Macaca fascicularis: one gene and its partner. The protein of the gene in region 2 binds, or shares a complex with, the protein of the main gene of each other region. Links are inferred from orthologs where the notes say so. Each region holds a gene or a part of one and is shown on either strand. Other genes may lie near its edges.

Evidence for each region.
Region 1: the proteins of PTH2R (region 2) and PTH2 are in contact, whole or in part, in a cryo-EM structure (PDB 7F16), measured with the Homo sapiens proteins. The link is inferred for Macaca fascicularis from reciprocal best matches to the Homo sapiens genes PTH2R and PTH2. Residues at the interface, in NP_005039.1 of Homo sapiens: Thr31, Ile32, Ile34, Gln37, Ile38, Asp68, Gly69, Leu70, Ile90, Tyr91, Asp92, Phe93, Met112, Lys117, Ala120, Tyr122, Leu126, Gln130, Pro131, Ser134, Lys137, Gln138, Phe141, Glu142, Tyr152, Arg190, Ile194, Lys197, Val201, Ile205; in NP_848544.1 of Homo sapiens: Ser62, Leu63, Ala64, Leu65, Ala66, Asp67, Asp68, Ala69, Ala70, Phe71, Arg72, Glu73, Arg74, Ala75, Arg76, Leu77, Ala79, Ala80, Leu81, Glu82, Arg83, Arg84, Trp86, Leu87, Tyr90, Met91, Lys93, Leu94, Leu95.

Annotation. Positions count from the first base shown.
Region 1 is NC_088393.1:57,370,672-57,374,522, forward strand, and holds PTH2 (tuberoinfundibular peptide of 39 residues), read right to left. Parts: upstream 2,245-3,851; 5' UTR 2,055-2,244; exon of another isoform or gene 1,959-2,054; 5' UTR 1,956-1,958; coding exon 1,834-1,955; exon of another isoform or gene 1,269-1,833; coding exon 1,094-1,268; 3' UTR 1,053-1,093; downstream 1-1,052. UniProt on the Homo sapiens protein: Plays a role as a potent and selective agonist of PTH2R resulting in adenyl cyclase activation and intracellular calcium levels elevation. Induces protein kinase C beta activation, recruitment of beta-arrestin and PTH2R internalization.
Region 2 is NC_088386.1:104,432,778-104,436,387, reverse strand, and holds the end of PTH2R (parathyroid hormone 2 receptor), read right to left. Parts: intron 1,931-3,610; coding exon 1,535-1,930; 3' UTR 710-1,534; downstream 1-709. UniProt on the Homo sapiens protein: This is a specific receptor for parathyroid hormone. The activity of this receptor is mediated by G proteins which activate adenylyl cyclase. PTH2R may be responsible for PTH effects in a number of physiological systems.

The DNA of each region.
Region 1 (3,851 bases), on a different chromosome or scaffold from region 2:
ATCTCCCCGCCCTTTCCCTGTCCTTTTTGGAGCCTGACGCCTGCTCCTCTCTCCTCTTCTCCTGCCCCAGCCTGGTGCCCCGGTGGTCTCCCGAGAAGGAGACCTGAAGTCGGAAAACCCTGAAAAAAAAATCGCTGGAGGCTGCTGTGAGAGGAGGAAACCCTTTTCAAAAAAAATAAAAAAAGCATTTTGCTACGTGACAGGCGCTGTGCTGAAGTCTTATGAAGGATAGCTTATTGGATCCTCGTAGCAGATGAAGAAAAGGAGGCACGGAGACTGACGTCAAGAAGGCTTTCTCAATACTACGCAGCTAGATTTGGAGGACCCTGGGTTTGGATGCTAGGGCTGCCTCACACCAGGGCCCACGATCTTTCCACTGTGCCTGGGGAGAAGTCTGGAAGTGATGGGAGGGAGGAACAGCGAAATGCAAAGGTGAGAGCTGGTGGAGAGACAGATAGAAACCTAACGGAGGAAAAAAAGGAAGATATGAAGGAGTCAGGCAGAGGAAAAAGGAAAAAAGAAAGTGAGGGAGAAGGAAAGGAAGAGTTTCAGAGGCAGAAGGAGAATAGAGAGAGGAGGCAGAGATTCTCAGAAGACCAGAAAGCCAAGAGGGTAAAAGGGGAGATACCCGCAAGGACTCAGGGAGACGGGGACACATACCCAGAGAGGAAAGAGACCCAGAGAGGAAAGAGACCCAGAGAAGGGGGCAGAGACAGAGGAGGACAGAGACCTTGGAGATTACAGAGAAACAGAGAAGGGGACAGAGACGGGGGTAGGGAGGGACAGGGACCCAGAATGAAAGGAGGGGACAGAGCGGAGGTGGGGGGCGGTAGGGAAGCAGAGATCCAGAAATAGGCAAGAAGCTAGCTTCCTGGACAAAGACAGAGGCAGAGAAACGGAATTGAGGAAAGAAAATAGAGTGGGAACTGAAGGGAGAGATGCCAGAGTGGCCGACGCAGAGTTCTGTCTCTTTTCTACCCCAACCTTTCCAGCCCTGCGCCCCCAACCCGACGCACACGCAGGTCGCACAGGAACGAGGCGCAGTCCGGAGCGCACGGCAGGGTCTTTATTAAGATGGGGACAGGCGGCGCGCTCAGCGCGCGTCCAACACCAACAGCTTGTGCATGTACGAGTTCAGCCAGTGGCGGCGCTCGAGGGCGGCCAGCAACCGCGCGCGCTCCCGGAAGGCCGCGTCGTCCGCCAGCGCCAGGCTCCTCCGCGGCCGGGGGGTGGCGGGATCCGCCCAGGCCGGTCCTGGGGGGCGGAGGCTGTGGAGAGACTCGGTGACCGCGCGTCCAGATCCGCGCTCGCCGCCGCCTGTCCTCCCCGCGGTCTAACTTGAAGCCCTATTACTGCCCCGTCGGTGGAGTGGGTCGGTCCGGCTCCCTCTGTCTCGTTCTCTGTGTGGGTCTCTGTCTCTCTGCTCACCAGGTTCGAAACTCCCCAGGTACTGAGACCGAGTCTGATGCACTTGTCCGCCCACAGCGCTCAGCACATGGCCAGGCGCACACCAAGAACCCACTAAACGTTGCTCAAAGAACGAATCCATTTCTGCATCGGCTCCTTTCCAGCCTTCTCCATGCCTTTCTCGGCATCTATCTTTCTGTGTGTCTTTCCCTTGCTGATTCTCTGTCCGTTCCCGCACCACCACCACCACCAAACCCTCCTCCCGCCTTCCACCACCCCTAGTCTCCGTCTTCTCGCTGGGTCTCGGTCGCCCTCTCTTTGGGCTTCTGTCCCTCTTTCTGGGTCTTCTGTCCCCTTTCTCTTTGGTTCTCTTCCCACTTCTCCAGGTCCCCACCCCTCCCTGGGAGTTCTGGCCCTGGCACCTACCTGAGGACCCCGACCGGGGGCAGGGCGACTCCCGAGGCAGTGCGGACGCCCCAGGGCACCACTAGCAACAGCAGCAGCAGCAGCCGAACCCGAGGGCTCCTGGACACCTGGCGGGTCTCCATCACCTGTGAACCAGAAAGGGGCTCAGTGGGGCTGCATCCCGGCCCAGAAACCCCGGCCCTACCATGCACCCACCCCCAGCTTCCCGCACGGTCCCCTACCGCGCAGTGGTCTCGGGCAGCGATGCTGGCAGCCCCCTTATATCGCCTCCGCAGCCCCCGCACCGGGCAGTGACGCAGGCCGGGGGGCCGGGGGCGCGGGGTCACCCCCTCCCCAGGCTCATTAGGAGCCGCCAGCGGTAATGAGGAGCCGGGGGTGGGGGACCTGCCGCTGCCTTGGCCGCCACCAACTAATTGGGACCAGAAGCTGGACCTGAGACGAGGGAGGGGGAGAGACAGACAGACAGAGAGGTGGACACAGGGGGTGTGTCGGAGGGCTAAAAATAGAGACTGGCGGAAGGACCGTCAGAGGAACAGAGACACAAAGAGAAGGACAAAGACAGAGTGGCCGAGGAAGAAATAGAAAGAAAGGGAACGACGGAAAAAGAAAGGAAAAGGAAGAAAACAAGAAAAGAGAGCAAAGGAGATGGAAACGAACAGTCAGACGGAGATGGAGGAGAGAAAGAAAAGGCTCTCAGAAAGACAGACGGCAATGGAAGGACATCCTGGCCTGGACGGAGCTGCCCAGAGATAAATCCAGCAGGGAGAGGCCCAGAAAGACCGAGGGTGAGATGGTGAGGGGGGAAAAGGCAAGAAATGGCAAAGGGTACGTGTGGCAGGGGTGTGAGGACAGGAAAAGTAACAGACAACATCAGAAAAGCCTCAGAGAGAGAGTGAAGAGGGGAAAACAGATAGGGCTCCTGAGCTGCCCTGAGGATGTGTCTAAATCCTTATCTGGGAGGAGTTTGGGGGTGCTGTTAAGATTAAAGCCCAGTCCTCCTCACACTGACTCTTTTTTTGTGTTTGTTTGTTTGAGACGGAGTCTTGCTCTTGTTGCCCAGGCTGGAGTGCAATGGCACCATGTCGGCTAACTGCAACCTCCACCTCCCAGGTTCAAGCCATTCTGCCTCAGCCTCCCTAGTAGCTGGGATTACAGGTGTCCACCATCACTTGTGACTAATTTTTGTATTTTTAGTAGAGACGGGGGTTTCGCCAAACTGTTGGCCAGGCTGGTCTTGAGCTCCTGACCTCGTGATCCGCCCGCCTTGGCCTCCCAGAGTGTTGGGATTACAGGCATAAGCCAGCGCGCCCAGCCCACGCTGACTCTTAAGAGGGGCCTCAGCCGGGTGCAGTGGCTCACACCTGTAATCCCAGCACTTTGGAAGGCCGAGGTGGGTGGATCACTTGAGATCAGGAGTTCAAGACCAGCCTGGCCAACGTGGCGAAACTCCTTCTCTACAAAAATACATAAATTAGGTGTGGTGTAATCCCAGCTACTTGGGAGGCTGAGGCAGGAAAATCGCTTGAACCCGGGAGTTGGAGGTTGCAGTGAGCTGAGATTGCACCACTGCACTCCAACCTGGGCAACAGAGAGAGACTCTGCCTCAAAAAATAATAATTTTAAAAAGAGGAGCAAGTGAGGAGAAGATGGGCAAAACTTGGAAGTCCTACAGAGCAGTAGCAATTTGGGTTGTGGGAACTTGGGCTCCTAGTTTCCTAGGAAGGTGGTAGCAGAAGCTTGGGCTCCTGAGTCTAAGAGTGGATGGGACAGGGACCCAGATTCCTATGTTCTGGGAGAGGATGAGGCTAGGGACTTGGATTCCTGGATCTGAGGAAGGAAGGAGGTAGAGGACTGGAGTTCTGAGTCTAGGGGGAGGGAGCTGTGGGGTACAACTTAGGGGACTTGAAATAGGAAGGTACCAGAGAACTAGACCCCTGGGTTTCCAGGTAGGAGAGGGTAGAGGACCAGGACCACTGGTTTCAAAAAGATAGTTTGACTGGGCCACATCTCCAGTAGAT
Region 2 (3,610 bases):
GAGACGGAGTCTTGCTCTGTTGCCCAGGCTGGAGTGCAGTGGCACAATCTCAGCTTACTGTAACCTCCACCTCCTGGGTTCAAGTGATTCTCCTGCCTCAGTCTCCCAAGTAGCTGGGACTACAGGCTTGTGCCGCCACACCTGGCCAATTTTTTGTATTTTTAGTAGAGACGGGATTTCACTGTATTGGCCAGGATGGTCTTGATCTCCTGACCTCATGATACGCCCACCTTGGCCTCCCAAAGTGCTGGGATTACAGGCGTGCGCCATCGCGCCCGGCCTTATTGAATTTTTGATGGGTTAATAGACTACATATATACTAGTGACAATACAACATAATGATTAAGAACATGGGACTTAAAGTCAATAGAGCTGTCAATGACCAGCTGGGCGACTTTGGGCAAGTTAACTCCACCCCTACAAGTCACACTGTCATCTGTAAAAGAGGCGACAGTAATAAGACTTACTGCATAAATTATAGTGAGAATTAAATAAATGAATGCTTGTAAGAACCTAGCAGCATGCCTGCCGATACATAACATGCCCTCAATAAAAGTTTTCAAAACTGCAACATACTGAAATTTCAAGTTGAATAAAGTACAAAAGCTAAATGTTGATATGTGTACATTTAAAGAAGGGAAGTTTGGTTGTTTCTCAAAAATAAAGTGAGATATTGAAAGAAAAATTTTAAAAAGTGATCCAAAATGTATTTTTAAAACAAATTTTTAATTGCTCCCACATGCCATGTACAATGTAGTAATAGCTCAGACAAGAAAAAGATATAGATGCAGTGTGATTTGCTATCAAAATAAATTACAAACAAAATCAATTGCAGACAGAAGCTCAATAACTGAGGAAACCTTTCTATAGGACATGGTTTACAAAGAAGAAAGAGTGAAGACCTGAGGTCTGGCTGGTCACAAAGAGGACATTCAAAAGAAGGGATGTGTGAAATATTCTTTTTTGAGAAATTTTCCTTGTTCCTAGAAACATGTGTAATTGTTATAAATGCATTATTTTATCAATGTCCAGCCAACTAATTTTCCAGCAAGTACTTGTTCTTAGAACTTTTATCTTCCCACATATTTTTTTAGATCCTAATTGCCCCTATGCACAGGCAAAATAAATGCAATGATAGAAGTACATTAAAGTAAGAAATAAGAGAATACTAGTTCCTAAAAGGAAACTGATACACACTAAATGATCTTCATTATATTTAGGGTGATATATACGAGAGAAAGCTACCACCAAGCAATTGAAACTTTTTTCTACCCAAAAGTAGCAGAAAAAACATGAACAATCACAGAGAAAATACCATACATTAATTTAGTGGAAAACTTGATGCCAAGAGAAGGTAATAAACTACTCCGTTGACACTTGCCTTTTCATGTCTTTCGTATTTACAGGAGCCGATTCATGGAGCCTAAAACTTTAAGTTACACCTTAACTCTGAATTTTCAGCCTTTGAGTTCAAGCATAGGAATATCAGCCAAGCCATTGGACCAGCCCATGAAAGTTAGCCACAAATGTCCATTCAGAGAACATCCTCAGTTTCCCCTTGGCATCCTTTAGTGTCTGGGTTAAATTCCATAGGCCTGGAAGACTTCTCCATTAGAAGATCATCTCCCTGCCTCCCACTACCTTCCTTGGTCTCCTCATGGAAAGAGTGTGGCAGGCAGTCCAGCTCTGAGTTACTCCAGACGTAGCCGGGTAAGGTGATGTGGCTGTCAGGCTGTCTGCTGGCAATCTTGGCAGCTTTGCCGGAGATAAGCACCATGCGTGTGCTGGCCGCCACCTGTGACTGGCTGCTGGTGCTGTGCGTCACGGTGGTGAGCACTGAGCCGCATCTGCGGCTGCCACATGGCGGGGTCCTTTTCCAGTCCACAGAGAGATTCCACCGACTCCACATCTTCTTCACCTCTGCCTGAACCTAAGCCACAAGAAACAGGTTGTGCATGAGAAATCCTAAAGGAGACCCTGCAGCCTTGTTACAAGGAGGTTTGCCTTGATTTCAATGACAGCAATAATCATTGATTGAGGTACCTCTACCTGCCAGGGACTTCATCTATGTATTTTCTCTCAACCGCAAAAAATACCTTTGAGATAGGTGTTAGTTTTGGAAGTGAGCAAATTGAAGCTTAGAGAGAGGTAAAGGGACCTGTCCAAGATCAGAATTTAAATAGAAGTTTAAATGCAGCCAATAGAAATATCTGACATACGGGAGAGAAAAAAAAAAGAGATTCTGGGTTGGAAGAGAAACTCAAGATAAACAGTGCCAGTGAGAACTTCAGAACTCCTGCTTGGCACATGACAAGCCCATTGGAACCCCTGCACTGACACTCGCCCAAACTCAAGCACAGCTTCTAGCAGCACAGCGTGGCTTCCCTAGGATGATCTCAGCCATTGATAGTCCTGCCTGAGAAAGCTCAGTGCTGCCAGGAGAATTTACTATTTGCTGTAGCTAGCACACACCTGATGATAGGCCCATGACTCCCCTTTCTTAGGACATTTACTAAAAAGGCTCACAGTTGTAAGTATGCAGCTCTTGTAATTCAGAAGCATCTCTCTCAAAGACCTGAGAGCCATCCCTTCAAAATATAATCATCAAGAGGGATAAGGCCTCTTGTCTCCCAGTCTCTGTGGAAGATAGAATTCTAACTTAACTGCCTGCTTGGTAGCACAGCTGGCCTAAACATGTTGATACTGACCAAACATTTTTTCACTTCTCTGACTCTACTGAGCCCTTACACTCCACCTCCCTCATTCTCCCTTTAAAATGCCCAAATCACCTCTGTGTGAATTGGAATTGGGCTCAGCTCTTTCCCCTACTGTCAGCAGTTACTGAATAAAATCCGTTTTTACCACTTAAATTGCTGATGTCTTTGGCACCAGCTGAGGCTGAGCAATGGCATAGAAGGTACTCAATTTGAGATGTAACTGTCATGCTATCAGTCTGCATCGGCAGCCTGAAGGACTCAGAGTGAGAAAAGAAGGTTCGTGGATAGAAAAGCAGGCACTGCAAATGCGTTCTTAAAAGGGTGGGGCTCTTATTTCCATTCCTACTACTGAAGATTCATTTCTACTTCAATTGCCACTTTTCAGAAAGGAGCTTATTTGGAATTTCCATGGGAAGCAGTGGAAACCTGGTATGCTGATGTCACCTGAAACAACAAACTTCTATCTGTTCATCTTGGCAAAAAAACTCAACACCTGACTGACAGAGCAGAAGCGCCGTCATCTTGGACAAACGCCACCACTTTAAGTTCCAGCTCCCTTTCTAACCTCATGCATTTTGAGGAAATCCCTTCCCTTCTAACAACAAGCAGCCAGAAAGAGCAGACAGTAAAACACTGGTAAGAAAGCTCGGGCACAGAGGAAGTAGGGAAAGTCTCTTGGGTAACCACCAAACTTCACAGTCTACAATGGACCCCAGTAAAACAGTGGGTTCTAATAAGCCCATTCCTTTCCCTTTAGGTGCACTAAGATAGGGAAGCTAAAAGCAGACTCAGGGGGTGGGGGTGGGAGGGGGTGTGCAGGCAGCTGCAGGAAGATGTATGAGAAAAGACGCACAAAAATTCACCGTCCCAGATAACCAAGACAAAGAGACACA